2 linked regions of the Stegostoma tigrinum genome follow. The main gene of each other region encodes a partner of the protein of the gene in region 2 in a complex. Links are inferred from orthologs where the notes say so. Each region holds a gene or a part of one and is shown on either strand. Other genes may lie near its edges.

Region 1 (15,831 bases), on a different chromosome or scaffold from region 2:
TACCTGAAGTTAAAGCTCACAGAACTAAGAGCAGGTATTGTTCAGATGAGGACAGCGCGTGAGCAGCAGGACAAAGAAAGTAGGGATCATGGACAGGTACCCTAATTGGCATGAAGCAGCACTCCACAAGGACCTGCAATGGGGCTTTGACCATTTATGGCATTTAACATCTTATATGATGGGGTAGAAACCACATTTCTAAGTTTGCCAACGGCAAAAGATTGTTGGCATTTTAAGCAGCATAGATAGAAGCATAACAGGGAATAGTAATACATTAAGTGAATGAGTAAAAGAATGGGAATTGCATTTTAATTAATCCAAGTGAGAGTTCATCCACTTCTGACCTAAAAGGATCGTTTCAACATGGTTAAAGGTTAGAAACAGAAAACCAAGTGAATTCAGTAAGTGGTGTACAGGCTACTAAAATGTCATGAACATTCAGAGAGAGTTATCAAAAAGTTTTTGGAATGCCATGTTGTATATTTAATTCAGCTACAGTATAGGGATGCGAAATCATATTGCAAAGCCCAGCTTACATGGTATGGGCTGTTTCCTTACGGGCACTTCACTTTATAAAGAATTTACGAACACTGGACATAGTGGATCGACTAGAAAGATACCTGGACTCCAGTAGTTAAATTAAGCAAGATTACACAAACTTCAGTAATATTCTACGAAACAAAATATTAAGCATTTGATCGAAGTCTGCAAGACATTAAGAGATTAGGGAATCTAGGACTATGGCACATGGTGCGAAATCTGGAGGCATGGTTTTCAGGAGCAAAACTGGAAACCACATTTACAGTCAAGAGGTTATCAAAAGTTTTGAAACTTGTTTCCACAAGCAATTGCTGCCAGTTCTTTAGTGCAGATCAGAGGCTGACAGTGTTTTGTTAACCAAAGATTAGCCCCGATTTCACTGTGAGGAATAGACTGAAAGGCTTACCGTTCTTGTGTTAGTTAAAAGGACTTTCTCCTGCAATAAATCTATTGTACGCCAACTACACTTCTATTTGATTTCAACCTTGGACGTAAAACATGGTTAATAAGTTGCTTGTTCTCAAATACGATCCAGTACCCACTTAAAAAGTGTACTACAAATCTGACATTCCTTCAAGCCTCTAAGTATTGGTTAAATTTGTTTCATCAATTAGTCCTATGTGGTTTGACAGTAAACAAAGGGTCGTGGATGCTGGAAATCTGAAACAAGAACACAGTGCTGGGAAACAGTGGGTCTGGCAGCACCTGTAGAGAGAAAAACAGAGTTAATATTTTGAGTCCAGTGACATTTGCTTCTGACAGATGCTGCCAGACCTGCTGCTATCCCAAGAGTTTCAAACGCACGAATACTGGTCGAGTTTACTCCCATTAGCAAACTCTACAACTTGAACTTCTCCTTCAGAAAAAATCTTTTGCAATGCAATCGGAGTTTGCACAGTTTACAAGTGTATCACAAATAACCTCCCAATCAAGATATTGCTGGAAAAATGACATTTCAAGAGAAATTTCATAGATGTGAGACAAAAACTCTTGAGAGATTATGCTTCCATCAATAATTGTACAAATACTACTACTGAACCAAAATCCTGAAAAGACCCAAGGCTCATATTCCGGGTTGGCAATTTAATTTAGACAGGGCTGGAGGTGGGGTGCTTATACACACAAAAACGAAAATCAGTCAGAGTTACACAGTTTGTTACTGACAATGATCCCTGAACATTGTGTAAATATGGATCGTCTTTAAGGATAAATTATGTTAATCTGTGACACTATTCGTAGCAAAATCTTTGGCCAATACAATGATACTTGTGAAAAACTGTCATCTTAGCAAGGTTTGGCCACAGGCTACCAAACTGTATAATATCTTCAACAGATTAAACAAAACCTGTTAGCTTGTGTCATTCACTTACTTTTTAACACAGTTTTAATTTTGGTCATCATTGGCTGCACACTTGTTTCTTCATCAGTCTGGTGGTCACTGTCACCAGTATTATCCTCTTCTACCCGTTTCCTCTTTCTGGGAGGAGGTAGTACTGCCTCCAGTAGTGCATCAACATCATTATCAAAATCATCCTGCAAAATACAGCATTGAAGGCCATCCCACTATAACAATACGAAGATTTCTGAACAGGACAGTTCAAAAGAAAAAGAAACTCTGAACTCTAGCTGCACTAACACAATTATTTTGTCATTTGGATTATGTTTGTTCCTTTAAACTAAGAGAATATACGATCTTACACCAAGTTGCATAGCAAAAGCACAAACATTGATCATTTCCCAGATGTCTGAAACAAAATACTCATAGACACTAAGCCAGATGTTTAAATTTAGAGTCTGATATTCTACTGAGGAATAAAGTTGTGGCTCACTCAGCAATTACGAATCATTCAAGTGTCCCGCTTGTTTCTGTGCAATTTGAAAACATTTTTAATCAGAGAAATTAATTTATAATACAAGGAAGGCTGTTTGCACTTTAAACTGCTTCGAAGCTATGAAATAGTGGTTTTTAAAAAACACCTCATGAAACAATAACACAATATACCTGAATTAAAATGGTGAGCCCAAAAGCAAGCTTGTATCTTATCAAGAGACTTTATTTTACTACAATAACATTAAGTGGAATGCCCGTATTTAAATCTGACGTGTCATTAAGTTTCTTTGCAGGACTAAAATTAAATTATGTATAAAAATACTGGCTTCATAAAGTGGGCAAGTTATTTCAAATTGAAACACACACAATACACTGAAGATACAAAAGATACTTGCTGCACACTTCCACTGTCAGAGTTTAAGGTTCCAGCCTGAGCTCGATGCCATCACTGTATTGAGCTTTATCTAATGCTCTGGTCAGTCTTCAGAGTTGGTTCATCCATACACACCTACAGATGGGTGGACTCAACTCCGACTAACCAATTCATAGACAAGGAACGGGCATCAGAACTACGCAGCAGTTCCTATTTCTGTTCATCCATTATTGACTGAAGGACCACAGTTGTAGAAAGAGAAGCGAAGTAGGAATGGAAGGATATTTTTGTACCAACAAAAAAAATTTAAACAACTTGCATATTCATTAAAAACACCTTACTAATTATGTGTAAATATAAATACAACTTGCTGCACAGCGTACAGAAATAAATGGACTTTTTGATTAAAATTTTACCAGCTGGAAAAGTTGTTGATGAAGAAGTGTGCTGGTCATAATGGACTATAGAAACATATACAGGGTTCAAAATACTAAACATATTACCTGATGCATGTAAATAGAAGGAGCAATTAAAAGTCAGAGTAAGCAAACTGCAAATGTCAACAATTAAGAAATACTGGAGTATAGAGATATTATTTGCAATTTAATGACAGGTCAATCTTGAATAACAAAGGTTACATGCATCAGGCAGGAACAAGGGAGAGAGAGAGGAAAAAAAAAGATAGGGAAGCCATTTATATCACACAAGGAGAAGTCACGTGCAATCACATGCACGTGAGTATTTTGAACCCTGCTCACATACCTCAAAAGAGTAACTCAGAGCTTCTTCATCGATGTGATCCTGCTGAATGATCATTTCAGATTTGAAACCTGTTCCCTCAATATCATCAGTTTCGAAGTTTTCTGTAAAGTCTTCTAGTTCATCGAGAACTGCAAATTCCACTTTTTTCTCCTGATTGTCTTCAATCTCTTGCTTACTAGTATTTTTACTACAGATACCCCCTGGCCCCACTACTCTATTACTGTCAAAAGGAGTGCCATGCAAATCTCCATTCATGCTCTTGATAAATTCAGTACTTTTCTCACCAGATTCAACACCAGTATAAACTACCTGTCTGTCCTTGCTTTTACTACTATCTGTAAAGACAACTCGAATTTTTACATCTTTCAGTAACTTAATATCAGGGGCAAACTTAGGAACAGCCGGTGCATGACGTGCTGTCCTTGGATTCTGTGTACAGCTTTCCGATACTGTTGTGAACTGACTGTTAAAGGCAGTGGATTCCATCGTAAGAAGCTGGTCTTGGCTGCACGTGTTAGAGTCCCCAGCGGGAGTGTCTGAAAGTCCATCACCACCAGAGCCAACGTCCATAACTTCTGCGTCACTGGACATTTGCAGGGGAGGTGGTGGAGGCGGCGGCGCGCTTGGAGGAAGAGGTGGGGGACACGGCTGATTCTCCACATTCAGTGGCTCTTTGGGCATAGGTGGCATGCTTCCAAACGTCTCCATTTTTCGAAACTTATTAATTCTAAGCTATAAAGAGTCCTAAACAAATTATATCTTAGTCAAATACCCAACTAAGAAAGAAACATATGCCAGTCCGAGTAAATTTTCTCAAAAGTTATGGTACTAAGCAAATTTTACAGATGATTCAGTTAAGCTGACTACATTGTTCTTTTCATTAAAGTAGACAGCTTTTAGAATCACTGTCTCAATTATTGGAAATCACAATGTATTCAGCTTAATCAACGCCTGCGATTAGATAGAATTCATCATCTTGAGTCCTTGACACCATCTTCTACTGATCACCTGCAGAGAAACAATAAAATGCAATAAATACAACTGAACCAAAAAAGATTGTGTGTGAACTACTGGAGAAACTCTAGCTGTTAGAATAATGCCTTGCATTAGCATAGCACTCAATTTCCATTCTGTTCTCTGTTCAAGCTGTTTTTGCTCATTCATTCATTCTCGTCTACTTTAAGTATTAAATAAATGGACTAACAACTTTACTGATGCAGTGGAGAAACACATTTTAAACTAATGCATGAAAGCATTTGTACACAAGTACCCAGCAAATAAAATTTCAGAGCTGAAGTTTCTAGGTACTGAAAGTACTGGAAAAAGTATTATCAAGATTGATTACGTTGTTCTTATTTCTAAATAAAGAGTTATGTTTTGCTGAGGCATTTTATTCTCCAGTTTTATTTGGTTTCCCCCTGGTGAAGCCAAAATAAACTATTCCAAAAGCAATCTTTCATTTTGTATCAAGTCTGCCTGAATAAGTATCTCAGACTATTATAATCAGCCAAATCAACAACTTGTAACCCGGCCAAATCCTTTTTAAAATCATTCATCAAACAGCAAGCAAGTAGTCAGCAATTAAGTAATACATACATTATAGTAATGCAAAAAAACTATCCAAAATCTAAGTCTTCACTTATCAAGATGTAGAAAATGCTTAATGTCAGAACACATTAAACACATACATCATTTTGACAGAGGGGAGAATTTTATATTTATCATAAGCCTCTCAAAGCACAGTTATTCAAATGTAGCCACTACTACACTAGCAAAGTATAATTATACATATAAAAATCATAATTTTCAAATTTGATACAATGAATTAAGCAGCACAGCACAAAAAAATCCAATCTGCAGATTAATCAAATTTCAGCCTGACAATTCCATTCCAGACTTTAAAAATAACTAGATGATTCCAAAATATCTAAACACTTTGACTTAATAGTTCATATTCTAATATATCAAAGGAAAAAAAAGCATTAGAAATCGATGTAAAGTTATTTCTAGTGAAAGAAAATTGGTCATATAGTAGACAGTGAAGGTTATCTAAGATTACAAAGAGATCTTGACCAATTGGGTCAATGGGCAGATGGAATTTAATTTGGAGAAGTGCGAGGTATTGCGTTTTGGTAAAACAACAAGGACAAGACTTATACAGATAAAAGCAGGGCCTTGGGTAGTGTTGCAGAACAAAAAGATCTAGAATTTCAGGTAATTCTTTGAAGTTTGCATCGAATGGGTGGTTAAGGCGGCATTTAGCATACTTTCCTTCATTGCTTAAACCTTTGAGTATAGGAGATAGGACATCATATTGTAGTTGATGAGGCTTCTTCTGGAGTATCTTGTCCAGTCTGGTCACTCTTATATGAAGGATATTATTAAACTGGCAAGGGTTCAGTAAAGATTTACCAGGATGTTGCTGGGATTGTGGGATTGGAGGATTTGAGTTATAAGGACAGGCTAAGACTTTTTTCACTGGTGTGTGCGAGGTTGAGGGATGACCTTATAGAGGTTTATAAATTCATGAGGGGTACAAGTAAGGTGAATAGTAGGTATCTTTGCCCTAGGGCAGGGAATTTCAAGTCAAGGGGGCATACTTTTTAGGTAAGAGGAAAAGGTTTGGAAAAAGGTTTTAAGAAAAAGGACATAAGGGACAACTTTTTAAAAAAGTGCCATTCATGTGTGAAGTGAACTGCCAGAGAAAGTGGTAGATGCGGGTACAGTTACAACTGTTGAAAGATATGTGGATAAGTGCGTGCATTGGAAAGGTGTGGAGGGATTTAGGCCAAGCGCAGGCAGGTAGGACTAGTTTAGTTTGGGGTTATGGTCAGCAAGGGCCATTATGGTTGAACCGAAGGGTCTGTTTCCATGTTGTGTGACTGTATGATAACTCAAATCCCTTTACTTCCTCCGAAATATTAGCTCCCTAACAGCTTTTTCTAAACAAAAAAGAGAATCGATCTTTTCATAAATTCCAAACATGCTGAGCCTTTCAGTGATCTTCGCTGTAGCGTTACGTCTGGTGAAACATGGTTAAACTCGATGGAAGTCACACAGCAACAGGCCTTTGATCAGACTCATTCAGCTCCACTCATTCAACACGAACCCGGATCTAACCAGGGGATTCAGTTAAAAATAAACAAATCCCTGCACCGACTTAAAAAGAGATACTGAGTTCCAGTATAAACCACCCCTCTGTCTAATTTAACATTAAAAGTTAAGCGAGAAGCCAGAAGGAGCCCCCTCCCCCAGGCGTGATCTGAGGCCTAGCCTAGACTTCGACAGAAACAAAGTATTGACTTCGCAAAATCGCTCCTCGGAGACTAACCGTGGTTTAATGGTTAACGATTAAATAAATAGTGCCGTCAAGGCTAAAATTTATGCTAGCTTAGTGCAAAATTAAAATCCTACCGTAAAAGCTCATCACATCGAAAAAAAAGTCAGATAATTTCACGGCCCTCCCCGCACCCAAAACCTCCGGTACCAGCCGCAGCTCCAACTTCGTCAAAGCGCATGCACAGCCTTGAAGATTGATATCTCGGTCAGCCAATCGACAGAAGCGTAAAGGAGGGGGGGTGGGTCTCCGGACTGTCAATCATCAACGGACCGTGCCACCCCCGGCACGCATGCGCCACAGGCTTCGCATTACTAGTTTATTGCCTCGATCAGCAGCCATCCGAACCCGCTTGCTCTTTGATAAGGAGGGGTAGAGCTGGATGAAGACATCACGCCCAGGGGCATCTTAGGGGCAGGAAAGCTGACGTTTCGGGAAGGGTCTAGGCCCGAAACGTCAGCTTTCCTGCCCCTAAAGTGCTGCTTGGCCTGCTGCGTTCATCCAGCTCTCCACCTTGTTATCTCGAAATCTCCGGCGTTGGCGGTTCCTATTATCCCCGCCTTCTCTTTGCCAGCTCGTGACAGCGCCGCTATATTTGCGCGACTGTCGGTGATTGACGAACGGCCTAACCAATCGCCAACCAACCATCGCGGTGACGGCACTAGATTGGAGTTCATGTCAATCATCGGTTCGTCCCCGCCCATCAAATGCGCATGCGTTTTATAGTCCACTGACAATCACCATGGCAGTGAGAAGGAATTTGTGAAAATAGGTATAGTCTTGCTTTACAAAAAGGGAGATGAGATGAGATTGTTTTTTTTTCGAAATAGAGAAATGCTTGTTTTTATTCATTCATAATACTTGTACGCCGGTATTAAGGAAGGGGGTGGTATTCGGTTAGCTCAGTTGGTTGATTTATGTGATGCCAAGAGAGGCTGAGGTTACTATGGTGACAAATCGAGTTAAACCGCCGCTAGTCACTGAGGTGTACAGCACAGAAACAGATCCTTCAGTCCAACTCATCCATGCCAACCAGATATCTTAATCTAGCACATGTCCCTCTCCACCTGATGAAGGGTCCAGTACTGAAGCGTGGACTTTCCTGCTCCTCTGATGCTGCCTGACCTGCGATAGTCCTCCAGCTCTACACTGTATTGGCTCTGACTCTAGCATCTACAGTTCTTTCTATTTCCTTCTAGACCCTTTCTATTCCTATACCCATGCAGATGCCTCTTACATGTTGTAATTGTACCTCTAATTGTATGTCCTCTAATTCCATTCAAACACCATCCTCTACTTGAAAACGTTGCCCTTTAGTTCCTTTTCAAACTTTTCCCTTTAACTTATGCCCTCTGGTTTTAGACTCCCCTACCCGGTGGAAAAGACCTTGTCTATTCACCCTATCCATGCCCCTCATGATCTTAGCAACCTCTATAAGGTCACTTCTCAGCCTCTGACGGTCCAGGGTAAATAGTCCCAGCCTGTTCAGCCTCTCCCTGTAGTTCAAACCCTCCAATCCTGGCAATGTCTTTGTAAATCTTTTCTGAACTCTTTCAAGATTCGTAACATTTTTCTATTAACAGTGAGACCAGAACCAAACACAATACTCCAAAAAATTGCCTGACCAATGTCCTCCACAACTGCAACATGACCTCCTAATTCCTGTACTCTATAATAGTAGGAACTGCAGATGCTGGAGAGTCCAACACAACAAGGTGCAGAGCTGGATGAACACAGCAGGCCAAGCAGCATCAGAGGACCAGGAAGGCTGACGTTTCGGGCTTAGACCCCTAGCCCTCTGATGCTGCTTGGCCTGCTGTGTTCATCCAGCTCTGCACCTTGTTGTCTCCTGTACTCAATGTATTGACCAATAAAAGCAGGCATAGCGAACACTTTCTTCACTACCCTGTCTACCTTCAACTTCACTTTCAAGTAACTATGAACCTGCATTCCAAGGTCTCTTTGTTTGGCAACACACTCCAGAACGTTAGCATTGTGTACAAGTCCTGTCTTGATTTGTCCTAGCAAAGTGGAGCACCTAACATTTGTCTAAATCAAACTCTATCTGCAACTCTTCAGCCCATCGGCCCATCTGATCAAGGTCCCATGGTACTGAGGCAACCTTCTTCACTGTCCACTACCTGACAAATTTTGGGGTCATCTGCAAACGTATTAACCATATCTCACATCCACATTATATTCACATCCAAATCATTTATTTAAATGACAAATAACAGTGGACTCAGCACTGATCCACACAACACACCTCTGGTCACCGGCAACCAATCCGAAAAGCAAACCTCCAACCACACTCTCTGTCTCCTACCTTTGAACCAATTTTGTCTCCACATGGCTAGTTCGTCCTGTATCCTATGCGATCTAACCTTGTTAACCAGACTACCATGTGGAACGTTATTAAACTCCTCAATGACGTCCATATAGACAATGTCCACTATTTTGCCTTCATCAATACGCTTGGTCACTTCCTCAAAAAAATTCAATCAAATTCGTGAGACATGATTTCCCACGCACAAAGCCATGTTGACTATCCCTAATCGGTGCTTGCCTTTCCAAATACGTGCAAATCCAAATTCCAAATTCAGAATGCCAACATCTCTGTCCAATTAGAGAGCAGTACTGTTGGTCCAGCAAGACTGTGATGACCTTACCTTCGCTTATCTTTACCTCTGCAATGATAAATTGGCAATAAATGCTGGCCTACTTCTAACTGCCTTGGAGAAAGTGCTGTGGTCGAATTGGTGCAAGGGCACTCAGTACACTGTTCCTGCCTTTTCCCCCTATTCATTGATCCCTTCAGTCCAAAGAACTGTATCCAGATTTTCGTTGAAAGTCTTCAATGTTTTGGCCTCAAGGCTTTCTTGTGCTAGAGAATTCCACAGGCTCACCACTCTGGGTGAAAGAAACCTCCCCTAATCTCTGTCTGAAAAGATCTTTCTCTTATTCTTACACTGTGAACCCTGGTTCTAGACTCCCCAGCCATCAAGAACACCCTTCCTGTATATACCCTGTCTAATTCTGTTAGCATTTTATAAGTTTCTAGGAGATACCCTTTGTTCTTCTAAACTCCTGTGAATATAGTTCCAACTGATCCAGTATCTCCCCACTCATCAGTCTGTCCATCCCAAGAATCAGTGTGCTAAACCCCCTTTGCACTACCTCCTCATCCAGAGCATCTTTCCTCAGATAAGCAGACCAAAACCAAACAATACTCCAGGTGTGGTCTCACCAATGCCCCGTACAGTTGCAGCAAGACATTAGTGCTCTTGTACTCAAATCCTCTCGCTGTGAAGGCCAGCAGACCATTTGACTTTGCACAAGGACACCCAGGTCTCATTGCTGCATCTCTTTCCCCATTTATTGTCATTCAGATAAGAATCTTCCTTCCTATTTTTATTACCAAAGTTTTATTACCTTACATTTATCCACATTATACTCAATCTGTCACATGCACACTTACTCCAAATTGCACTGCAGCTTCTCTGCATCCCCCTCACAACATAGCCTCCTACCCAGGTTTGTGTCATCTGAAAACCTGGAAATATGACACCGAGATAACAAAGTGTGGAGCTGGATGAACACAGCAGGCCAAGCTGCATCTTAGGAGCACAGAAGCTGATGTTTCGGGCCTAGACGCTTCATCAGAAATATGACACCTAGTTTTCTCAGCTATTGTGAATAGTAGGGTCGAAGCACTGATCCCTGCAGTACACCACTCGTCACTTTCACCTTAATAAGCAGAAAATTGCAGTCTACATCAACCCTTGAAAGAGCATCCCACCCAGACCCAACCACCTTATTCCTGTCACCCTGTATTTCCCGTGGCTAATGCACCTAACCTACACATCCCTGAACACTATGGGTAATTTAGCATGGCCAGTCCACCTAATTTGCACATCTTTGGACTGTGGGACAAAACCAGAGCACCCAGCAAAAATCCACACAGACATGGGGAGAATGTGCAAACTCCACACAGACAGTCGCCCGGGATCGTAGGGCTGTGAGGCAGTGGTGCTAACCACTGAGCCACCATGCCACCGCTTTCTGGTTCAGCAACATTGACACACTGCTGTCTGTAAAGCGATGTTCATTGTTCATTTGATGGTTGATTTGGTGGACCCATGTCTTTTATACTAAAGTTCTTTCTTTTAAGTTTTCTTGGTTTTATTTCCTTTCCAATTGTACTGCGAGAAGGGGAAAGAGATGTTTTCAGTTCGTTGGCTTGGAGGTCTCTGGCTACTCTGATTTTACTTGAACAATATGAAGGCTGTCACCAGGCTGATTTTCCCTACCTCAAAAATTCCTTGTGCCACACAGATTGAATAATGTATCAAACTCATTGCTCCAACTGCAAAATTCTCTTGCACAGTCAAAAATGTACACCACTTAATTTTTCTAAATTGCAAAACTCTAATATTTCAGCTATATTGTGGTCCAACTTCCATTTGAGTTTACAGTGCAAAAGGGAAAAATATACGGTTCCTTACAGTAGAGAAAATGTTGGAAAAGGTCAGCCAGTCATGCAACACCTGCCACATCACCTTTCTTAACTGCTCTGTTTTCCAACATTTTCAGATTTTATTTATTCCATTGCTACAATATTGGTCTTCTATCATTGTCTCACCTGTTACTGACACGGAAATCTTTGTCCATGTTTTCATTACCCATAAAACATAATTCTGTAATGTCCCCATCAACAATCTCCTGAGGTCCATCTTAGTGAGCTCTTTACACATCATGTTATTTAGGTTTAAATAGAACTGCTAATAATTACCCAGCATCTCACATGTCAAAGGGGTTCCTGCCTCAGGTTGGTGTTTTATCTCAGGCGATAAATAAAAATTGCTATTTTTGTCCTTACCTGACACCAGTATGTGCATTTTCTAACTGATATTTATTTCTCTCCAACCTAAGAATGCTGAAATCAAGTGTAGAATAGTCATGGTCTCCAGGGTTCAAATCCCACCTGCTCTAGAGATGTAATAACATCTCTGAATAGATTAATTAAAATATCTGTAATGACCAATTTAACACATACCTTTGTGGCTTGTATGATAGAACAGCATTTATCCACTAAGCCTTGTGTGGAAGGCTATATCTAACTTAATGATGACACTGTTATTGTTGGCCAGGGGAACGCTTATAGTTTGCAATATCAAATGTTAATTGTTCCAAATTTCAGTTTCAGCAAATTCATGTGGACATTAATTCTGTTACATGCAACAGTGAATAACAAATATGAGATCAATAACAAATCTATTTTCTAAATGGAACTGTAGCTTTGAAATTAAGATAAACCAGAATTATTTATCCATAGTATGATCTAATATTAGTCAGGGCCATATGCCAGAAGCATCTTATTTACGGTGAAAGTTTTCAGCTCAATCTTGCTCAAGCATGGTTAATATATAAACATGGCATAAACGAAACCCGTTCTTTTGTAATATGAAAATTCTCACTTGATATTAACTTACCAAATTCAGGCTTGTACTGTAAATAGCTTTTGTGAATGTTATTGCAATTCCACCCCAAGTTAGTTCTGCACAACAAAGTCAACAATTGCCAACTTAATAACTTCAAGGAAGTTTCTATTTCTCATCACTGGCAGATTCAAATTTAAAAGTACAGTTCTTTAAATATAATACATGATTTCTCTTCAGAAACAAGTTTTGTTAAAAACAGGTATAAATGTTGGTCCATTACATTGCCTTTTCTGTACTCTGTCAGTACACAAACCTCTTGTGACAATCGTACTCAAATGGAGCCAACCCCTAATCTCCAAGTAATAGAGCTAGATTTTATTTCAGGGATGTGTGAATGGTTCCTGCTACTTCACAGGCTTTTTCTGTAATTTTGAAGTGGAACCTATTTAGAGCCCTATTTTGGCATGCAGATCTGGAAAATTCATGAACAGACAAGCAATTGTTTTTCCACTTGAGCAATGAGATTGAAAAATCTTTAATGCAGAATACAGGAGGTGTCAGTTGGACATTGAATTCACTACCAAATCAATTACAGAAAGTCAAGAAAAGAGGAAATACGGGTGACATTATTTATGAACAGGAGTGGGGGGGGGAATGTAAAAACATACTTTTCAAACCTCCAATAACAGTCAAAATCTTAAGAATTGAGACTACACACTTGTAATGCATACTTTTAGCATCAAAATGGTTGTCTGGCAGAAATTAAGACTTCCATGATGTGAAAGTTCCTACACAGGATTTTATGAACTGTTTAGTCAGCAGTTATTCCAAGGTCCCACTGTTTCAAAAACTTGCATAGAGTCATTGAGATGTGCAGCACAGAAATAGCACGGTCCAACTTGTCCAGACCAGATTTTCTAAATTAATTTAGTCCTATTTACCCGCTTTTGGCCCATATCCCTTTCAAACCTATTCACATATCCATCCTGATGCATTTTAAATGTTGTAATTGTGGCAGCCTCCACCACTTCCTCTGGCAGCTCATTGCAAACACACACCACCTTCTCCATGGATAAGTTGCCCCTTAGATCCCCTTCAAATCTTTCCCCTGTCATCTCAAAACTCTGCCTTCTAGTTGTGGCAATCCCCACTCCAGAGAAAAGACCTTGCCTATTTACCGTATTCTTGCCCCTTGTGATTTTATAAACCTCTATAAGGTCATCCCTCTGCCTCCGGTGCTCCAGGGAAAATAACCTCAGCCCATTCAGCCTCACCCTTTAGCTCAAACCCTCCAACCCTGGTAACATCCTTATAAATCTTTTCTGAATTCTTTCAAGTTTCACAACATTGTTCCTGTAGCAGGAGACTAGAACTGCACACCAACTACATGTTGAATCTCTCGCACAGCATTTGAAGATTAGAGAAGCCAGGCATCAACTTCTGGATCTCTATATTTAATGAGGCATATGTGATCTGGAGACGTAGCTGTCCCGTTTACACTGCAATAATGCTGAATCTGTTTTTCCTTCGACAAAGCGACACAGTGACTCTGTTGTTAGCACTGCTGCCTCAGTGCCAGACACCCAGGTTTGATTCCAGCCTCGAATGACTGTTTGTGTAGAGTTTGCACATTCTCCCTATGTCTGTGTGGGCTTCTTCCCACCGTCCAAAGATGTGCAGGTCTAATGGATTGGCTGTGCTAAATTGCCATGGTGTCCAGGGATGTGTGGACAAGGGGGATTAGCCATGGGAAATGCAGGGTTACAGGATTATGGTATGGGGTGGGTGCATGTGGGAATCTTTTCAGAGGGTGGTGTGGACTCAATGGGCCAAATGGCCTGCTTCCACACTGTAGGGATTCTATGATTCTAAAATCTGCCCCCTTTAATGTTTTTTCCATAATCCTCTTCCTTGAAATATTCTGCGTCAGCCTCTGATTTTTAACCCTTTCCTCCTCTCTTCCTCCCTCCCATTCTTCTTTCTTACCCTTCTACTTCAACTCCCTTTCACATTCCAATACTTTTACTCAATCCCTTCCCTCATACACCATCCTCCCTCATCATTTCTTCCTCCAGCATCCTGATCCTCTGATCACCTTGCCTGACGTCACGCGTCTTGGGAGGTTATTAAATAAATCATTGAAAATATACACTGGAACACAAAACAAAATTGACTAGGCACAGAAATTTCTCAGATCCACTCTTATTTCATGTACAATATCTTGCTGCAAATGTGGCAGAAACTCCATTTTGGTACATATAGACTAGAGGGTTTCCAACTTATCTTGCAAACCAATACTTGTCAGGTAGGAGCAGATCTCAGGAATTTTCTTCAAAATGTGTAAAGTAAGATAAATTTAATGAGAAGATTATGTTGAGAAAGGGAAGTGACACTATTTTCAACACTAAGTTTCAACTTTTATTGATACTGGTACAGAACATTTTATTACAAACTTAGTAATTAAGAACAATCATCAGGAAGTGCAAAATTCTACTTTGCATTGTTATGGAAAAATAAACTTTGAATTGTAAAATACTGTGTATTAAATTAGTTTATGCTGTTGAATTAACTTCAACAATAAGATGCTAAGAGTTGCAGTTATGACCACACGAATGGTGACATTGTACCACTGAAATAATTCTAGAATTGCACCAATATATTCTGAATTCAAGTGAAGCATCCCAAAAAATCCCTGCAGTGACATTTGCTGATACCTGTATCTAATACAGTATTCTTGGTACACAAAAATATGACATTTGGAATATAACTGAGCAGAACTTTACAAAATAACAAACTGCTAGTGTCAAAGGTATACGTCTTGGCATTTTTGAAACTATAGCAGCAGCTAAAATTACTTGTGGTTTTTTGAAAAGACAAGTTAGGTTGAGGGGACAGTTTTTAGATTATGAAATGGAAAGGTAATTTAACTTCGAGACACCATTACCATTCAAAATAAAGAGGTTTAATGCAAATGCTAGGGGATTCCTATATTGGTGACATTTATAAAAACAAAACCATGAGTCAGAAATTCATTTTGTAATGAAAAAAAGACATATTTTCTTCACAATTGGTAATCTGAGAAGGAAACTGCACTCTCGGGATTTGCACGGATCAAATCATTTCATTAATACCATTAACTATGAGAAAAGCAGATTTCCTCCCATTCTCATTAAAAATGGATCTTCAAAACCTTTCTGGATGTTATGATTTCAAGTACTAAGACATTCTAATTTTTAATTTAACTATTTATTCTTCAGTTTTAGTCTATTCTCATTTACCTTTATTTATCTTTTACTAATCTGTTCTATCATCTGTTGCAATTTATTTCATCATTTTCCTTTCAATTCCTTCTTGTTTCTTTTCTTTTCCCTTATTTTTATCCTGTCTCATATATTCCCTCCAGCATTTAAAGTACGAGTTATTCATTGTCTTGTATTACTTTTCCCTTTTTTTGATCTGTTTGCTTTCAGTCTCATTTTCATATACAACGATCAAAGAAATGAGGCATGTTGAAATAAAGGGAGGAAGTCAGTCATGAATACGAAAC
Region 2 (15,962 bases):
CTGTGTTCCTCCAGCTCTACACTGTGTTGTCGCTTAATAATTCAGCCAACCCATTTTCACCTATTTAAGTTCCCATTAACAGCTTTTGTTTCTTCCTGGCTTACCTTTATCCATCCCTTTGTCAGCCTAACCATCTTCCTCTATAGGCTCTGTCTTCACTCCCACTTCCCACCCTACCCCTTTCCTTCTACTTTTTTCAGTGTAGATATCACCTTCACCTACCTATTAATAATTCTGAAGGGGCACTGGATCCAAAACATTAACTCTGCTTTCTCTCTCCACAGATGCTGCCAGACCTGTTGAGTTTCTCCAGCAATTTTTGCCTTTGTTTCAGATTTCCAGCAACTGAATAATCCCCCTGTCAAGAAAAATGTTGCTGCTTTATTGCAAAGTTATTTCATTTACCCAGGTATTGCTGCCCATTTTTGTATGCTTTCTTCACTGTCATCTTCACACAGATCTGCAAATGCAGCTTCCATATCTTCTAGCTGTCTTGTACGAGCTTCCACACAATCGATCAACGCCTCCTGGGGGGACAAGATATAGTTTTCAGATTTGTTTTTAACAATTGTCTTTAAATCAACGTTGCTAACATCAGAACTTCCTTGCTTTCAAAAACGTACCAACTCCTATACCTTCTGATACGTCCCATGCTTTGCTCTCAAAAGAAATTATTCTGTTAAATCCATCACATTTTAAATGGGAAGTACACTTTTCATGTTGAGATGTTTCACTGTTGGAGCAGGAGTAGACCATTTTTCAGCAGAGGTGTTGTGGCCCTCAGGTTAAACCACCATCAGTCATCTCTGTTCAACAGGACTGTGGTAACTTTTACACCCCAGGAATTAGTCTGCTTTTAGAAAAAAGGTTACTGCTCCCGAGCAAAATTGTAACAAAGTTGCTGGTCCATAGTTACAGTAGTGATTAATACTATCCTCATTTCCATCGAGAGAAAATAGCAGAGATTCTGTCTCTGTCTGATACAGTCACAGGATATAAACACACTGAATTGGCAAGCATATTCTTTCAAAAAAATCATAAACAGCAAATCTCAACAGTTGAAAAACCTGCAAGAAAACATTTTTGTTTCTTCAAAATTAACATAGCCTCATGTTGCGCTAAAAGCAACTATATTTGATCTTCACCTACCTCAGAGTCTTCCTGATCAGGTTTGTTAAAACTATACAACTGCTTGAGAATTTCATATTCTTCCTGAGGGACAAGATGAAAGTGATTATGAATAAATACACTGTCAACAGCTTAAGCATGAAATGATGCTTGTTCTCATTTAACATCCCCTGTCTTGCTGCAGTATTTAGGTTGAAAACAATCCTAATAACAAATCTTTCTATGCATCCCTCTTTTAGCTTTTGTAAAGAAAAACCTTGCATTTTGATAGCACCTTTCATCAGCACAGGACAGGCTGAACCTATTTTACAGTCGGTGTAGGGTCTTCACTGCTGTACTGTGGGAAATTCAGCAGCCAGCTTGCACACAGCAAACTCTCACAAACAGTAACGTAATAACATTCAGATCATTAGCTTGAGTGATACTGGGTGAATAATAAATACTGGGCAGGACACCAAGGAAAGTACCAGTGATCCTCCCAGGATATGTCACAACCACCTGAGTGGGCAGGAGGGGCTCACTTCAACATCATTCACCCTAAACGCCTTAAAGTGCAGGAGCCAGTAAAAAGACGGGTGGTCATAGTAAGAATGTAATTGGATTAATAATCCCAAGCCCCAGGCTGACGTGCTGTGCAAACAGGTTCAAATCTCAGAGTGGCAGCCAGTGAAATTAAAAAATAAATCTCGAGCTAAAAGCTAACTTAGTGGCAACACATAACCACGGTTAATTGTTGTAAAGCTCCCTCTGGTTACCAATGCCCTTTAATTAAGGCCATCTGCCATCCTTTCCTAGACTGCCCTCTGTGCAATTAGGGACCAGGCAATATCTTGCATTGAATACGACTCTCCTTCAGAACAATTACCTGCTTGTTTCCCTTAAGAGTTCACATTCACAAGCTAATCCAATGGTTTCTTTTCCCTGTCCATATACGTTACCCCAACAACAAAGTGAAGCCACACACACAAGATGTGAGAAGATCATAGGTACGCAAAACAGACCAACAAAACTCTACTAGTAAACATACAGGTAAAGTTCAGAAACCTTTTGTCCTTAAAGCTAGAATTAAGAAAAAGCACCTCGGTGTACATTTCTTTAAATGGATTTTTAACTGAAAAGAAATCCAAATCAATATCCAGGATGAAAGCATCTCTTTTGTCCAAGACATGAAGAAGATCCTTCACGATTTCCTTCTCCGGCTGTTGGACAGTCTGAGGGCTTGTCGGTGCTGTGTGGGGTGGAATGGTCTCCTGTATGTCTCTCTCAGCTGTGGAGTGTGAAACTGGACAAATGTTGTCACCATTAGATCTGTCCTCAGACAGCTGATTGTTCTCTTTGGGGGCCGAGGCACACATAGGCCCGGGAACACCTTCTCCACTGGTGAAATGTTCCATTTTTGGTATTTTGCAGGCAGATGCTCCAATTTCCTCTGGTTCCTCACAGTCATCTCTGCTCTGCTCACCTGGGTCTATCGGGATGACCTGTAACCCTAACTGCTTCCTGTTCTCCAGCAAACTCTCCGACACGTACAATCCATCACTCAGAAAGTAGCTCTCAGCACTTGTAACCCTGATACGAAAACACAAAAAAAAATCAGAATGAAATAATCTTTGCACATTCAAATAAAACATATGTGTCACAAATGCATGTATTTTGGAGAAGACAAACTGGAGCTGGCAGCTCAAAAATGATTAGATTTACACATCCTCTGGATATCCTTCCTTACACCTCTCTCTCTGTTTCCTCCTAGAACCACTCCTTTGACCAGATTTTTCATGGCCTGGTTTACTAGCTCCCATGGTTTGATGCCTTCACTCCTGCAAAGCCCTGGGACACAATACAAGTGTAACTTGCTGTTGCTGTTTCAGTCCAGTATCTGTCATCCCTGGAAATGGCAACAGGGAGAAAGCGGAGATGTGCAAAAGCTTCCTTTTACAGACTGCTCACAAAATTGGGAATCACTAGTTTTGATTCTTTATTCTTTCACCGGCAAGGCCATCATCTGTTTACCATCCCCAACCAGCCTTTAACTGAGTGGTTTGTTTGGCCATTTCAGAGGGCAGTTAAAGCCAATTGCTGTGGGTCTGGAGTCACATGTGTCTCAGACCAGGTAAGGAGAGCAGGTTGCCCTCCCTAAATGGACATTACCGAGTCAGATGGGTTTTTATGACAATCGATGATAGTTCCAGCATCATGAATATTGAGACTAGCCTTTATTCCAGCTTCTTTATGAATATTAGGGGGTGCAATGACCTACTGGCATTCTTGCTAGACTATTAATCCAGGGACCCGTGTTCGTGTCATACCATAACAGATGGTGGAATTTGAATTCACTAGAAATCTGGAATTAAGAGTCAACGATGACCATGAAACCATTGTTGATTGTTGGAAAACCCATCTGGTTCTTTTGGGAAGGAAACTGCCATCCTTATTTGGAAATATAATATTGCCGTTCTTTCACTGTCACTGGGATAAAATCTTGGAATCCCTCCCTAATGGCATTGTGGGTCTACATACTGCATGCGGACTGCAATGGTTCAAGGAGGGACCTTGTCACCATATTCTCAAGGGCAACTAGGGATGGGCAATAAATTGTCGGCCTGGCCAGCAACACTCACATCCATTGAGAGCAAAAAGAATTTATCTGATCTGGCCTATGTGATTCCAAACCTACTGCAATGTGGTTGACCCTTAACTGCCCTCTAAACAATTAGGAAATTGCATTAAATACTGAGCTAGCTAGTGATGCCAACTTCCCGTAAATTAATTTAAAAAAAAAACTGAATTCAAATCCAACCATTTTCCATGATCGGATTTGAATCCATGCCCCCTCACCCCCAATCATTAGTCTAGGCCTACTGTTCCAATAACATTACCACTAGGCCACCAGCTCCCATCATGTGGGGAATTGAGAATGTACATCTGCGATCTGTTTATCATTTTGTAGAACAGCAGGCAAGACACTAACTGTAATCAATAGCACACTCAGTTCTCAAGACAAACACCGCATTCAACGCTCTGAGAAAATATTACTCTTAACCTGTATCTTAAATCATGACCCCTTCGTTTTTGAACAGCAACCTCGTATTCCAGATTCTGTCAAGGTGCCTCAGGGCCTTCAGTTTTCAGGCAAGTTGCCTCTTAAGTCTTCAAAACACCAGTGGATGCAGGCATAGCCTGGCCTACCTGTCACTGAATCTCACAGTTCACAAGAGGCCCTGTGGCCCATTGAATCTGCACCAAAACAAACCTATGCTAAATTTACACTAATTCCATGTTCCAGCGCTTGGCCCTTAGACTTTAGTGCTATGACATTTCAAGTGATCATTCAAGTACATTTTAAAGATTTCCTGATGAGCACATTTTAGGCATTAATCTAGTAAACCTTCTCTGACCTGTTTTTCAATGCATTTCTGTCCTTCTTTGAATAAGAAGTCCAGAGCTGTACACAATGTTCCAAAAGTGGTTTCACCACTGGCCGGTCCAGTTGAAGCATAACTTCCCGATATTCCTGTCACAGTAAACAGCTGCAATACCTGATGGTTTTAGTTGAAGAATCTCTACCAACAAAGAAGCAGTGTTTCCCATCGGTGATCTGCTGGGCCCACAGAGGGTGAAGCCAAAAGACGTCAGAGAAGTGGCCAGCGTAAACAACAGGCATGATCCAGTTCTCAATGCTCAGGTCTCTATATTTAGGGCAGAGCGGGGAGAAAAAAAAATTCTGATCACTTTTCTAAGGACAAATAAGAAACTGAAGTGAGAGAAACAGAACATTTGCTTCCATTGAACTAGATAATGGCATCACAAGGTGCTTCATTCTTGCTAAATTATTGTCAAGTCCCACAACTGAAAAATCTCCCTGATTGGAGAGTGTTTCCCAGATTTAAATATTGTCATTCCCAAGACTTGAAAGCAAGTCACCATCTACTTCAGTGTCTCGTCCAGCCTCCTTCCGACAGCACCTTCCAAAACTATGACCTTTACAACATTGAAGGGCAATAGGTGCATTGGAACACGATCACATGCAAGTTCCCCACAAAGCCACGTACCATCCTGATTTGGAACAATGTCATCATTCCTTCAGTGTTGCTGGATCAAAATCTTGCATCTCCCTCTGTATTTACAACGTGGATCTACCTACAGCAAATGGATTGCCAATGGTTCAAGACAGCTGCTTGTTAAGTTTCCGACCCACATCCCCAGAGCGTTACTTCGGGCTCTGAATTACAGGTCCAGTGATTATATTGTGATGCCATCACCTTTGGAACATCAATTGCTCTTCAACTGCGATAATTAATTACTCATTCTCCCAACCCACTGAACAGTAACTGTATCTATTTACCTAACAGGTTATAATTTGTAAAGGAGAGATTATTTATAGTTATTTCAACAAGGACAGAGACACAGATTATTCAGCATTTAAATGCAATAAAAGCCAAGTCACGTTACCCAAAAAGCAGCTCTTTATCAAACACACTATCAGCTAACATGTCAATTGGGATTAGAAGGTCTGGGTGTGAGTCCAGGTGAACCAGGGCTATATTTTCAATTGGCAAATGCTTTGAACCAATTGCTCGATAGATGAATGGTACCACCTGAAAAGACAAGAACAGAGAGAATGTCCCGAAGAAAGCTTAAACAGGAAGAGGGTGAGGTGAAATTAACATTGTTAAATTCTGAAACTTCAATCAAGAATCACCCAGAGTCACAGTCATGGCTAAACAACACATTTACCCCCCTTCCACCAACAGGAACATTCAACCAATTTCTTTGTCAAGGCCCCCTCATGAATACTAACATTTCTATCAAAGCTCCTCTCAAAGTTGTCTTTTTGACGAACAGTTGTGGTGGTGTTGGTGGGTGGGGCTGGGGCAGGTGGAGTGTAAAACATTGTTCAATCTTCACATTAAAGACGTCTGAAAATCTCAGGTGGAGATGGTGCCACCAATCCTTGTTGTATTTTTAATTCAAGGCATTGGGTCCTGATCTTGGGCCATCTGTTCCAGAGATAGGATCACTACCACTGCATAAAAAGACCATTCCAACCCTTCTGATAATCCTAGTCTACATGCTTATTAGTACTAAATGGTGAAGGATTAACCAGTAAATCTTCTTTGGCACAAAAAACACTTAACTTGGGTAAAAAGTAGTAATTTATTGCATTAGAAAGAAGATAACATGTTACATTAACCTGAGACTGAAACTATAATACACTGAGTATGGTTGAAAGCAGACCCAGGATAAGTATGGTTACTTCAAGACTGAGGAACTCCTCCCACAGACTCTCATGCTTACACACATACACACTGGGCTGTCTATATCAAAACTCATGTTACTAGAATCTGTCATGCTTTTCCTCTCAGCAATCATCATTTCATACATCTCTGTATTAAAATGATTTAGCTCACTCACATGGTCCTGGGAGTGCCCAGTATCAGAAAGCGTTGGGAGTAGCAAGTTGCATGACCGTTGTCAGGTAAAAATAAAGGAAGAACAACAATCCTGGGGTTCTAGCTCTGGAATGTTCAGTGAATGGCTTTACAAACCCAGGAAAATGTTCCAATTCCCAGGATAATGTTGCAATCACTGTGACAATGCTACAATACTTGGACAACATTCTAATTCATGGGATGTTGCAGTTCCAAGGACAACAATCCTGGGGCAAAGTTCTAATCTCAGGAATAATGTTACAATCCCAAGGGCAACATTCCATGTTTCAACGCAACCTTCCAGTACTGGGATAATGTTCCAGTTTCCAGGACAACCTCTCAATCCTTGGGGCAATATTCCAATCATTGCAAATAATGTTGCAATATTCAAGAAAACATTGCAATCCCAGGTCAATGTTACAATCACCAGGACAATGTTCTAGTCCTCAGGCGACCTTTAATTTCCAAGATACCATTGCAACCCCCTGGAAAACAGTCCTATTGCTGTGATAATTTGCAATCCCGGGGACAATGTTACAATCGCCAGGACAGTGTCCTAATTCCCAAAATAAAGTTCCAATCCCCAGCACAACATTCCAATACCCAGAAAAACGTTCTAATTCTTCAGACCACCACTCAATCCCTAGGAAAATGTTGCAACCCCCTAGGAAAACATTCCAGTTCTTGGAACAATGGTCCAACCCCAGAGGCAACCTCCCAATTCCTGGGTTAATATCGCAATCCCCAGGGCAATTTTCCATTTCTCGAGACAAAATTCCAACCCCTGGAACAACATTCCAATTCGTGGGAAACGTTGGAATTCCAGGACAATGTTCCAAACCCTGAGAAGAGGCCGCAATCCCTAGGGGCAACGTTACAAATCCCAGGACAACCGCCCAATTCCCTGGGGAAAATGTGGCAATCTCCAGGGTAAGGGTCCAATTCCCGGGAATGACACGGCGGGTGGGTGGAGAGGGACCGCTCTTACATCTTGATGATCCTCCACGACCCAGACGGGAAGCTGGGGGTAGCGGCGCAAGCAGCAGGTGACCCCGCTCATGTCTGCAGGGAGGACCCCCTCACTGCCTCTCCCTTAGTCCTCAGAGCCTCCGGGGGAAGCACATCCTCCGTCGGACCTCATCCCTCGACCTACGTGATTGGAGGAAAACGAGTCCAGCACCAGAAACGTGCCGACCTGAAGCAAATGCAAAAAGGCCCCAAGATTGCTTTAACGCTGCAGGATCGAATCTCCTGCAGGGCTTTACCTGCTGAGCAGCAAATGCTGCTACCTTTATGTTATATATATAAAAAAAACAAAGACCTTTATGCTCGTGTTTGACCATTTATTGAATTTTGCATCGATCCGAGTCCAATCCTAAACTTTAAATCGCTTCCGTTTGTGTGAAGATTGCAGTTGACCCCAGTTGTGTTTTCATGGACACATATTGAAATAACATGCAATTTCTAAGAGGCTGCTTAAACATTCCCTGTTGCCAACCCAGTGTTTGCAACCAGGATCGGAGCATGTATCCGCCGGAATGTTGCGGGTGTTTCTTTTTCTCTCCGGCATTGTGACGCCGCCATGTGTCTGTGAGGAGCCAATGGGGACAGAGCATCGGGTCTGCTACTTCCGAGAGTTTCCGTCTCAGCTTTCTCCTCCGCTTCCTGTGCCTGAGGGAGAAAAAATACACCGCCAGCAGCTCGTGAAGTGTAAGTCCCGCAGCATTGACTGAAATGCAACAGGTTATTTAGAGTGGGAGCGGGTTTGCACTGTTTGATCTAACGATGTAGGGGCGCCGTGCAGCTAATGCGGTGGGGTGGAAACAGTAACAGGGGAGGGAATTGCAGCGTTGTGGAGAGGAACACACACGATGTCACTGCAATCACTGATACACAAAAAAAGGAGGCTGAATTAGTGGGATGATTAGGGAAAAAAATGTTTTATCAGTGTTTAATTCCTCAGGGCATTGTGACCATTGATTGCTTGTTCTTGGAGCTTCCTCTGCGCAAATAGTGTGTGTTCCCTACGCTACAACAGGGACCGCATTTCCACACCATCACGGTGAAGATGCCACATCAGTGTAGTTTCTTCTCCCTGCTTCTCTGCCCCAAACCTCTTGAAGTTTCATTGCCTCTCCCCTGGAGTTACCCACTGTGTTGATATGCAGCCCTCTGCTGCAAGACGTGTAGTGAACATATTCGGTCGGCGTTGAACCTGTTTAAGTTGTAATTGTTGGTAGCTGGGAATGTTGTCTTATTGGACCGTTGTATTCAATGTTGCAAGCTGATTTTAGACCGCACACGAGGCTAAATTCAATTGAGAGTAGAAGTGTGCTGCACTCTTGCAGTGGCAGGATTCTTGGCAGTGTGGAGGAACAGAGGAATCTTGGGGTCTGGGCCCACAGATCCCTCAAAGTTGCTACCCAAGTTGATAGGGTTGTAAAGAAGGTGTATGGTGCATTCGCTTTCATTGGTAGGGGAATTGAGTTTAAGAACCGTGAGGTTATGCTGCAGCTCTATAAAACCCTAGTTAGACCACACTTGGAATATTGTGTTCAGTTCTGGTCACCTCATTACAGGAAGGATGTGGAAGCTTTAGAAGTAGTGCAGAGGAGATTTACCAGGATGCTGCCTGGACTGCAGGGCAGGTCTTATGAGGAAAGGTTGAGGGAGCTAGGGCTTTTTTCAGTGGAGCGAAGAAGGGTGAGAAGTGTACAAGCTGATGAGAGCCATAGACAGCGTGGATAGTCAGAGACTTTTTCCCAGGGCGGAAATGACTATTACGAGGGGGCGTAATTTTAAGATGATTGGAGTAAGTTGTAGGGTTCTTTACCCAGAGAGCGATGGGCATGTTGAATGTGCTGCCAGCAGTGGCAGTGGACCACTTTAGAGACTTTTAAGCAACTCTTGGATGGGCACATGGAGGATAGTGAAATGTGGCATGTGCAGGGTAGATTGATCTTAGAAGGATAACAGGTTTGTACAACATTGTGGGCCAAAAGGCCTGTACTGTACTGTGTTCTTTAACTTAAAAAAGGAGTTTGTATGAAATAATTTCATTGCAACCTGCTTGGATACAGATCATTTAAGGACATGAAGGTATAACCTCCCTTGACAATGTGGACGAACAGGCCCTGAATGGTACTCTGAAATACCACTTTTAAAAAGAGGTGATTGGAAGAAAATGTGGGACAAAGGACATTTTCTTCACCACCTCTGAAGATTTTCTGACTTGGTTTTCCTTGTTTTATGTTCTTGGGATGTGCATTGTCTGGCTGGGCCAGCATTTGTTGTCTATTGAACCCTACTTTCTATCACAGCTTGGAGACCACTGTCAGTCCTTAAGGTGTAAGGACACTCAGGGTGCTGTTGAGGGAAAGAGTTCCAAGATTTTGACCTGGCAGCAACAAAGCAACTGTGATGTATTTGCAAATCAGGATGAGGTGTGGCTTGATGGGGAATATTCCGGTTGAAAGTGTTCCTCTGTATCTGCTGCCCTTGTCCTTCTGGGTGGCCGAGGTCATAGGTTTGGAAGATGGTGTTGGAGGCTTGATAATTGTATTAAGTGGCATAAAGCAGCAAAGCACAAGGTTTGATACACACAATGAGCTGAATTAGTTGGCACTGGCCAGGATAAAATGATTCTTGGCCTCAGTGCCCAGGCTAGACCTGAAGAAGGAGAAAGTTTCATGAGTGACTTCCCCCTCTCTCTGCTAGTAATCAGTAGTTTTTCAATGATTGGACTTAAGACTGTGACGCTTAGCCAGGTTCAGCACACAGTTATGATAGACCAAAAAAAAACATGGGGTATATGTCCATAGGAAGGAGTTCAGAATATAAGTTTTGTTTACACTTCATGAACCCAAGAAAAGTAAAATGCTGAGGTTGATACAAGCTTGAATTCTTAACAGGATAACAAAGTGTGGGGCTGGATGAACACAGCAGGCTAAGCAGCATATTAGGAGCAAAGAAGCTGATATTTCGGGCCTAGACCCTTCATCAGAAAAGGGATTGGAATAATTAAGCAATTGTTTTGGACTGATGATAATGCAATGGGCCAAAGGGTCTTTTTCCTGTGCTGGAAGACCTCTGACAGTGTGGAAAATATCTAATCGCTGAAGGATTAATCCTCAGAGTCAAAAATATTCCTGGCATTTGTGTGCACAAGTGTCTATGCCCCTACCAATTTTATACATCTTAATTATATCCCTCCTAAGTGAGCGCAGCTTCAAGTAAAACAATTCCAGTCTGCCCAATCCCTCCGTAACTAAAACTCTCCAATTTATGCAACATCTTGGTAAGTCTCATCTGCACCTCTCCAGTGCTATCGCAACCTGCCTATAATGTGGAGCCCAGTGTTGTCTGAGAACCCATGCTGTCTCTTTCAGATGTGGCAACTGTGCCATGCATTGATACAGCCACTTGGATTAAAATTGCATCCACTCTGTTGTGGCTGCACGGGAGTCTCAATTAAGCAGAGGTCTCACCTGCCCGCCTGGGTGGATATGGAGATTCCATGCCTATATTTCGAAGAGGAAAAAGTGTGTTCTCTTCAGTTGTCTTGACCATATTTGTCCACAGCACACAGATTTTGTTCCTTTCCACATTGCTGTTTGTAGGAGTTGCTGTACACTAATTGGCTAATGTTTCTCCTATGTTACTGCAATGAAGTACTTTAAGAGTATTGAGCAGTACTGTGTTTTGGGACACCCTGTGGCTGTGACAGTACTATTGAAACTCATGCTAACATAAATTAGAAGCAAGAATCAGCTAATCAGCCCCTCAGTGCTGCTCCACCAGTCATTAAGATCACAGCTGCTCTGAATCGATTGTCAAATCCACATTCTTGCCTTCCCCTGAGAACGTTTCACTCTTTTGCTTGGTGAGGACCCATGTTGGCCTTAAATATTCAAGGACTTGGCTATTATTTTGGTAAACCTCCTGTGAACTGTCTCTACATTTTTACTTAAACGAGAAGACCAGTACTGTGCACAGTACTTCAGTGTCTTCTCACCAATATTCTCTAACTCAAATATAACCTCCTTACCTTTCAGGCCAAAGACGTGGCAGTGGGTGACCACATGGGTCCCAGCTATGCCTCTTTCTAGGGTACATGGAACATTCCTTGTTCCAGTCCCATTCCAGCCCCCACCCACAGCTCTTTCTCCGATATATTTGATGATATCATTGGTGCTGCTTCCTTCTCTCATCTGGGATTGGGAAAGTTTACCAATTTTGGCTTCCAGTTTCCACCTCGCTGTCACCTTCACCTGGTCCATCTTTGATTTCTTCCTTCCCTTAAGGCAGGATAGACTCGATGTGTTGAATGGTCTAATTTCTGCTTCTATGTCTTATGGTCTTCCCTTCCTCAATATCTCTCTGTCCGGGGATGGACTGGCCACTAATATCCGATACAAACCAACTGACTCCCACGGTTAACTTGACTGTACATCCCCACACCCCATTTCCTGTAAAGATTCTTCCCTTCTCCCAGTTCTTGTTTCCATTGCAGCTGTCAGAAACACCCATCTTCTTCCTCAACCAAGGATTCCAGTCATAGTTGACAGGGCTGTCAGCATGTCCAACCCACCTTCCAAACTTTGGCCCCCACCCCTTCAACAGTAAGGTCCCCCTTTTCCTCACCTTCAGTCCCACCAGCATCTACAGCCAGCGGACCATTATCCACTATTCCCACCACCAGGCACACATCTCTCCCCTCCTTTGACAGCCTTCCTCAGGGACCAATCCCTCTGGGACCCCCTGGCCCACTCTTCCTTCACTCCTGCCACACCCACTGCAGCCCTCCCGCACCTTCCCTGCCTACCTTTTCAGCATCCAAAGTCCCGAACATACCTTCCAGGTGAAGTATCAGCTTACCTGCATTTCACTCTGTCCAATCTACTGCATTCTCTGCTCACACTGTGGTCTTCTCTATATTGGGGAAACAAAGCATAGACTGGATGACCACTTTGCAGAACATCTATGTTATGTCCACAAAAAGACCAAGCTACCTGTTGCCTGCTCCTTCAACACACCATGTTGTTCCCTGGCCAACATCTTTGCGTCAGGCTTACTGCATTGCTCCAGCGAAGCTCAGCGGAATTGGGAAGAGCATCACCTTATTTTTTGCTCGGGAACTGCACGGCCTTCTGGCTGTGATATTGAGTTCTACAATTTTAGGGCTTGAGGCACCTTCTCCCATGTCCATACCCCCAACCCTTAACAAATCAGGACTTGTTATCACATGGTCTGCTGTTATACATATGTAATTGATAGCCACTAATAGTCCCCGTTAGCAGCCAATCATTCTCCTAGGTTGACCGTTATCCACTCGTTGTCTGTCAAACTATTCTTCTGTCTCTTTGGGCTGTATCTCTACCTATTGTTTACTCTTTACTCCCTCCACCCACCCTATTTGCTGCTGCAGTAAAACACTTCAAGCTATAATCACACAAAACATTAACTTTGACTTCTCTCCACAGATTGGCTGAGTTTTTCCAGCAATTTCTGTTTTTGTTTCTCTCTAATTTTATCTTAAATTCTCTTTGCGATGAATGATAGCATTCAATTAGCTTTCTGAATTGCTTGCTTTACCTGCAGACAAATCTTCTGAGATTCATGCACTAGGACACCCAGATCCTAGGCTAATATATTAGTTAACCAATCCTCTAACAGAAAACAAAGAGTGGGGATAAATGGGTGTTTTTGTTTTGGTTGGCAATAAGGTTAGTGGTGAGCCTTGGATCAGTGTTGGGACCTCAACTGTTGACAATTTACACAGATGATTTAGAGTTGGGGACCAAGTGTAGTGGATCAGTGTTCCCAGAAGACATTAAGTTGTGTGGTCGAGCAAAGTCTGTGGAGGGATATCGAAAGGCTAAGTGAATGGGCAAGGGTTTGGCAGGTGGAGTACAATGTTGGTAAATATGAGATCATCCATTTTGGTAGGAATAACAGCACAATTGACTATTATTTGAACAGTGAAAAATTGCAGCATGCTACTGTGCAGTGGGACATGGGTGTCCGCGTGTATGAATCACAAAATGTTAGTTTGCAGGTGCATCTGGTAATTAGGAAGTCAATTGGAATATTACCCTTCATGACTAGAGGGATGGAGTTTAAAAACAGGGAGGTTATGTTGCAGCTATATGGGGTACTGAGTAGACCACACCTGGAGTACTGTATTCAGTTTCATTGGTTGAAAAAGGATGTACTCGTTCTGGAGGTTCACTATGTTAATTCCAGAGATGAGAGAGTTGGTTTGTGAGGAGAGATTGAGTAAACTGGGACTATACTCATTGGAATTTAGGAGAATTGGGGAGTTCTTATTAGGAACATATAAAATTATGATGGGAATAGATAAGATAGAAACAGGGAGGTTGTTTCTGCTGGTGGGTGAAACTAGAACTAATAGGGCAGATTTAGGACTGAGTTGAGGAGGAACTTCTTCACCCAAAGGGTTCTGATCTGTGGAATTCCCTGCCCAGTGAAGCAGTTGCGCCTACCTTGTTGAATTTTTATGAGGCAAAGATAGAGAGATTTTTGAATAGAAAAGAAATTAAGGGTGATGGTGAGTGGGCAGGTAAGTTGGACTAAGTCTACAGAAAGAGCTGCCATGATTTTAATGAATGCTGCAGCAGGGTTGAGGGGCCAGATGGCTGCCTCCTGCACCAATTTCTGATGTTCTTAACCATCTACACCTCAGCTCTACCATCACACCATTTAGATGATATACTTCTTTGATACTTGATAATTTCAGTTTTCTAACATTATACTTCATTTGCCCAAGAAATTGCAGCCCGTCACCTATATTGTTTTGCGGCCTGATGTCCGTTTCATCCACCTATGGAAATCTTTGGAAGTTTCTGCCCCTTCAGATCAATCAGTTCTTTTTGCCCCCGAGTGTCTAACAACTGCACGGTGGGATTTGGTTGTGGTGGACACTGTCACATGCAGATACGTTTAAAATTGTTCTAATCGCCATCTTTACTGTTCTGTTTTTAATGTTCAAAGGGAACTATGTCATTTCATCCGGGCCGAGGGACCTCTGCGCACACGTGTCATGGAGTTATCCCGAAGGTTGGGGGTGCCCGGGGCAGGCCTACCCCCGGGGGTCGGGTACCCCAGCAGCCCTTTGAGGCCAGTGGTGGCGGCTTTCGGCCTGTCCACCCACCGCCTCCATTATTCCCCCCAGATCAGCAGCTCGCTCCGCCGATGCCGCCTCCACCCCTGCCTCCTCCTCCCCCTCCTCCTCGCTTCCCCAGCCCGCAGGGCCCGGCTTACCCGGCCCCGGGCTTCTTGGCCTACCCGCCACATATCCCTCAGGCCTCGGAGCCTCGCCCAGGGCCTGTTGGCCAGCAGCAGCAGCAGGGCCCATTGAGGGCTAGGCCTCCCTACCCCGGCCCTCCGGTAACACGACCGGGATTCCCGTGCTTCACGCCGGTACCGAATGCGGTAGCGGCAGTGGCGGAGCGTGGGGGCGGCTTCCAGCAGCTGATGGCCCAGGCTCCGCTCCTACCCCCGCATCAGGCGGCTTTCCAACCCCCGTACCCGCTGCCTTACCCCCAGACCTACCCGCTCCAGCATTTCGGTGCCGGTTATCCTCCGGGCCCGGTTGCCGGTGGTTACCCACCAGGGGTAGGTGGAGCCATCTCCCTGGTTCCCCCAGGACCTGGCCCAGGCCCAGGGGGTTACCACACCTCCCCGTCACCACAGCAACCGCCATCATGTCCAGGTCCGGGCCCGGGGTCGGGGCCTCCGGCCGAGCACTTCCGGGACAAGCCTCCGCGCGCGCCGCCCGCCAAAATGGCCGGGGGCCGGCACGCGGCCGAACGCGACAACCGCCAAAAGGACAGCAGGGACTACAGGGAGCGGGGGCAACGCCGGAGCCCGCCTGAGGCAAGGCTCCAACACCGGGAGAGGTCCAGGGACAGGGACAGGGACAGACCCAGGCCCAGGGACAGGAGATCGGACAGCGGCCGGAGGAGGATCAACCATGAACGGGACAGGACACCGGGACGGCACCGGGACCGGGGGCACAGCAGGTAGGGGGGGCATTTAATTATAAACACCTGGGGGCACAGCAGGAAGGGGGGGAGTATCTAATTATAAATACCCGGGGGCACAGCAGGAAGGGGGTAGAATTTAATTATAAACACCCGGGGACACAGCAGGAAGGGGGTAGAATTTAATTATAAACACCCGGGGACACAGCAGGAAGGGGGGGCATTTAATTATAAACACCCCGGGGGCACAGCAGGAAGGGGGTAGAATTTAATTATAAACACCCGGGGACACAGCAGGAAGGGGGTAGAACTTAATTATAAACACCCGGGGACACAGCAGGAAGGGGGTAGAATTTAATTATAAACACCCGGGGACACAGCAGGAAGGGGATAGAATTTA

Evidence for each region.
Region 1: the proteins of drosha (region 2) and dgcr8 are in contact, whole or in part, in a crystal structure (PDB 5B16), measured with the Homo sapiens proteins. The link is inferred for Stegostoma tigrinum from reciprocal best matches to the Homo sapiens genes DROSHA and DGCR8. Residues at the interface, in NP_001369437.1 of Homo sapiens: Leu984, Leu987, Phe988, Thr998, Tyr999, Thr1001, Ala1002, Ile1003, Gln1005, His1008, Phe1069, Asp1073, Leu1074, Glu1076, Val1077, Trp1078, Asn1080, Pro1082; in NP_073557.3 of Homo sapiens: Asn728, Ile731, Leu732, Lys734, Leu735, Gln736, Glu738, Met739, Lys740, Leu742, Ala743, Arg746, Arg750.

What each region holds. Positions count from the first base shown.
Region 1 is NC_081379.1:5,872,984-5,888,814, forward strand, and holds the start of dgcr8 (microprocessor complex subunit DGCR8), read right to left. Parts: upstream 7,218-15,831; 5' UTR 6,921-7,217; intron 4,515-6,920; 5' UTR 4,215-4,514; coding exon 3,507-4,214; intron 2,074-3,506; coding exon 1,911-2,073; intron 1-1,910.
Region 2 is NC_081355.1:5,187,401-5,203,362, reverse strand, and holds the start of drosha (ribonuclease 3), read left to right. Parts: upstream 1-8,161; 5' UTR 8,162-8,267; intron 8,268-8,274; exon of another isoform or gene 8,275-14,570; 5' UTR 14,571-14,576; coding exon 14,577-15,601; intron 15,602-15,962. Other genes in the region: c2h5orf22 (UPF0489 protein C5orf22 homolog), read right to left, coding at 406-527, 1,150-1,212, 2,208-2,697, 4,665-4,814, 5,578-5,723, 7,546-7,617. UniProt on the Homo sapiens protein: Ribonuclease III double-stranded (ds) RNA-specific endoribonuclease that is involved in the initial step of microRNA (miRNA) biogenesis.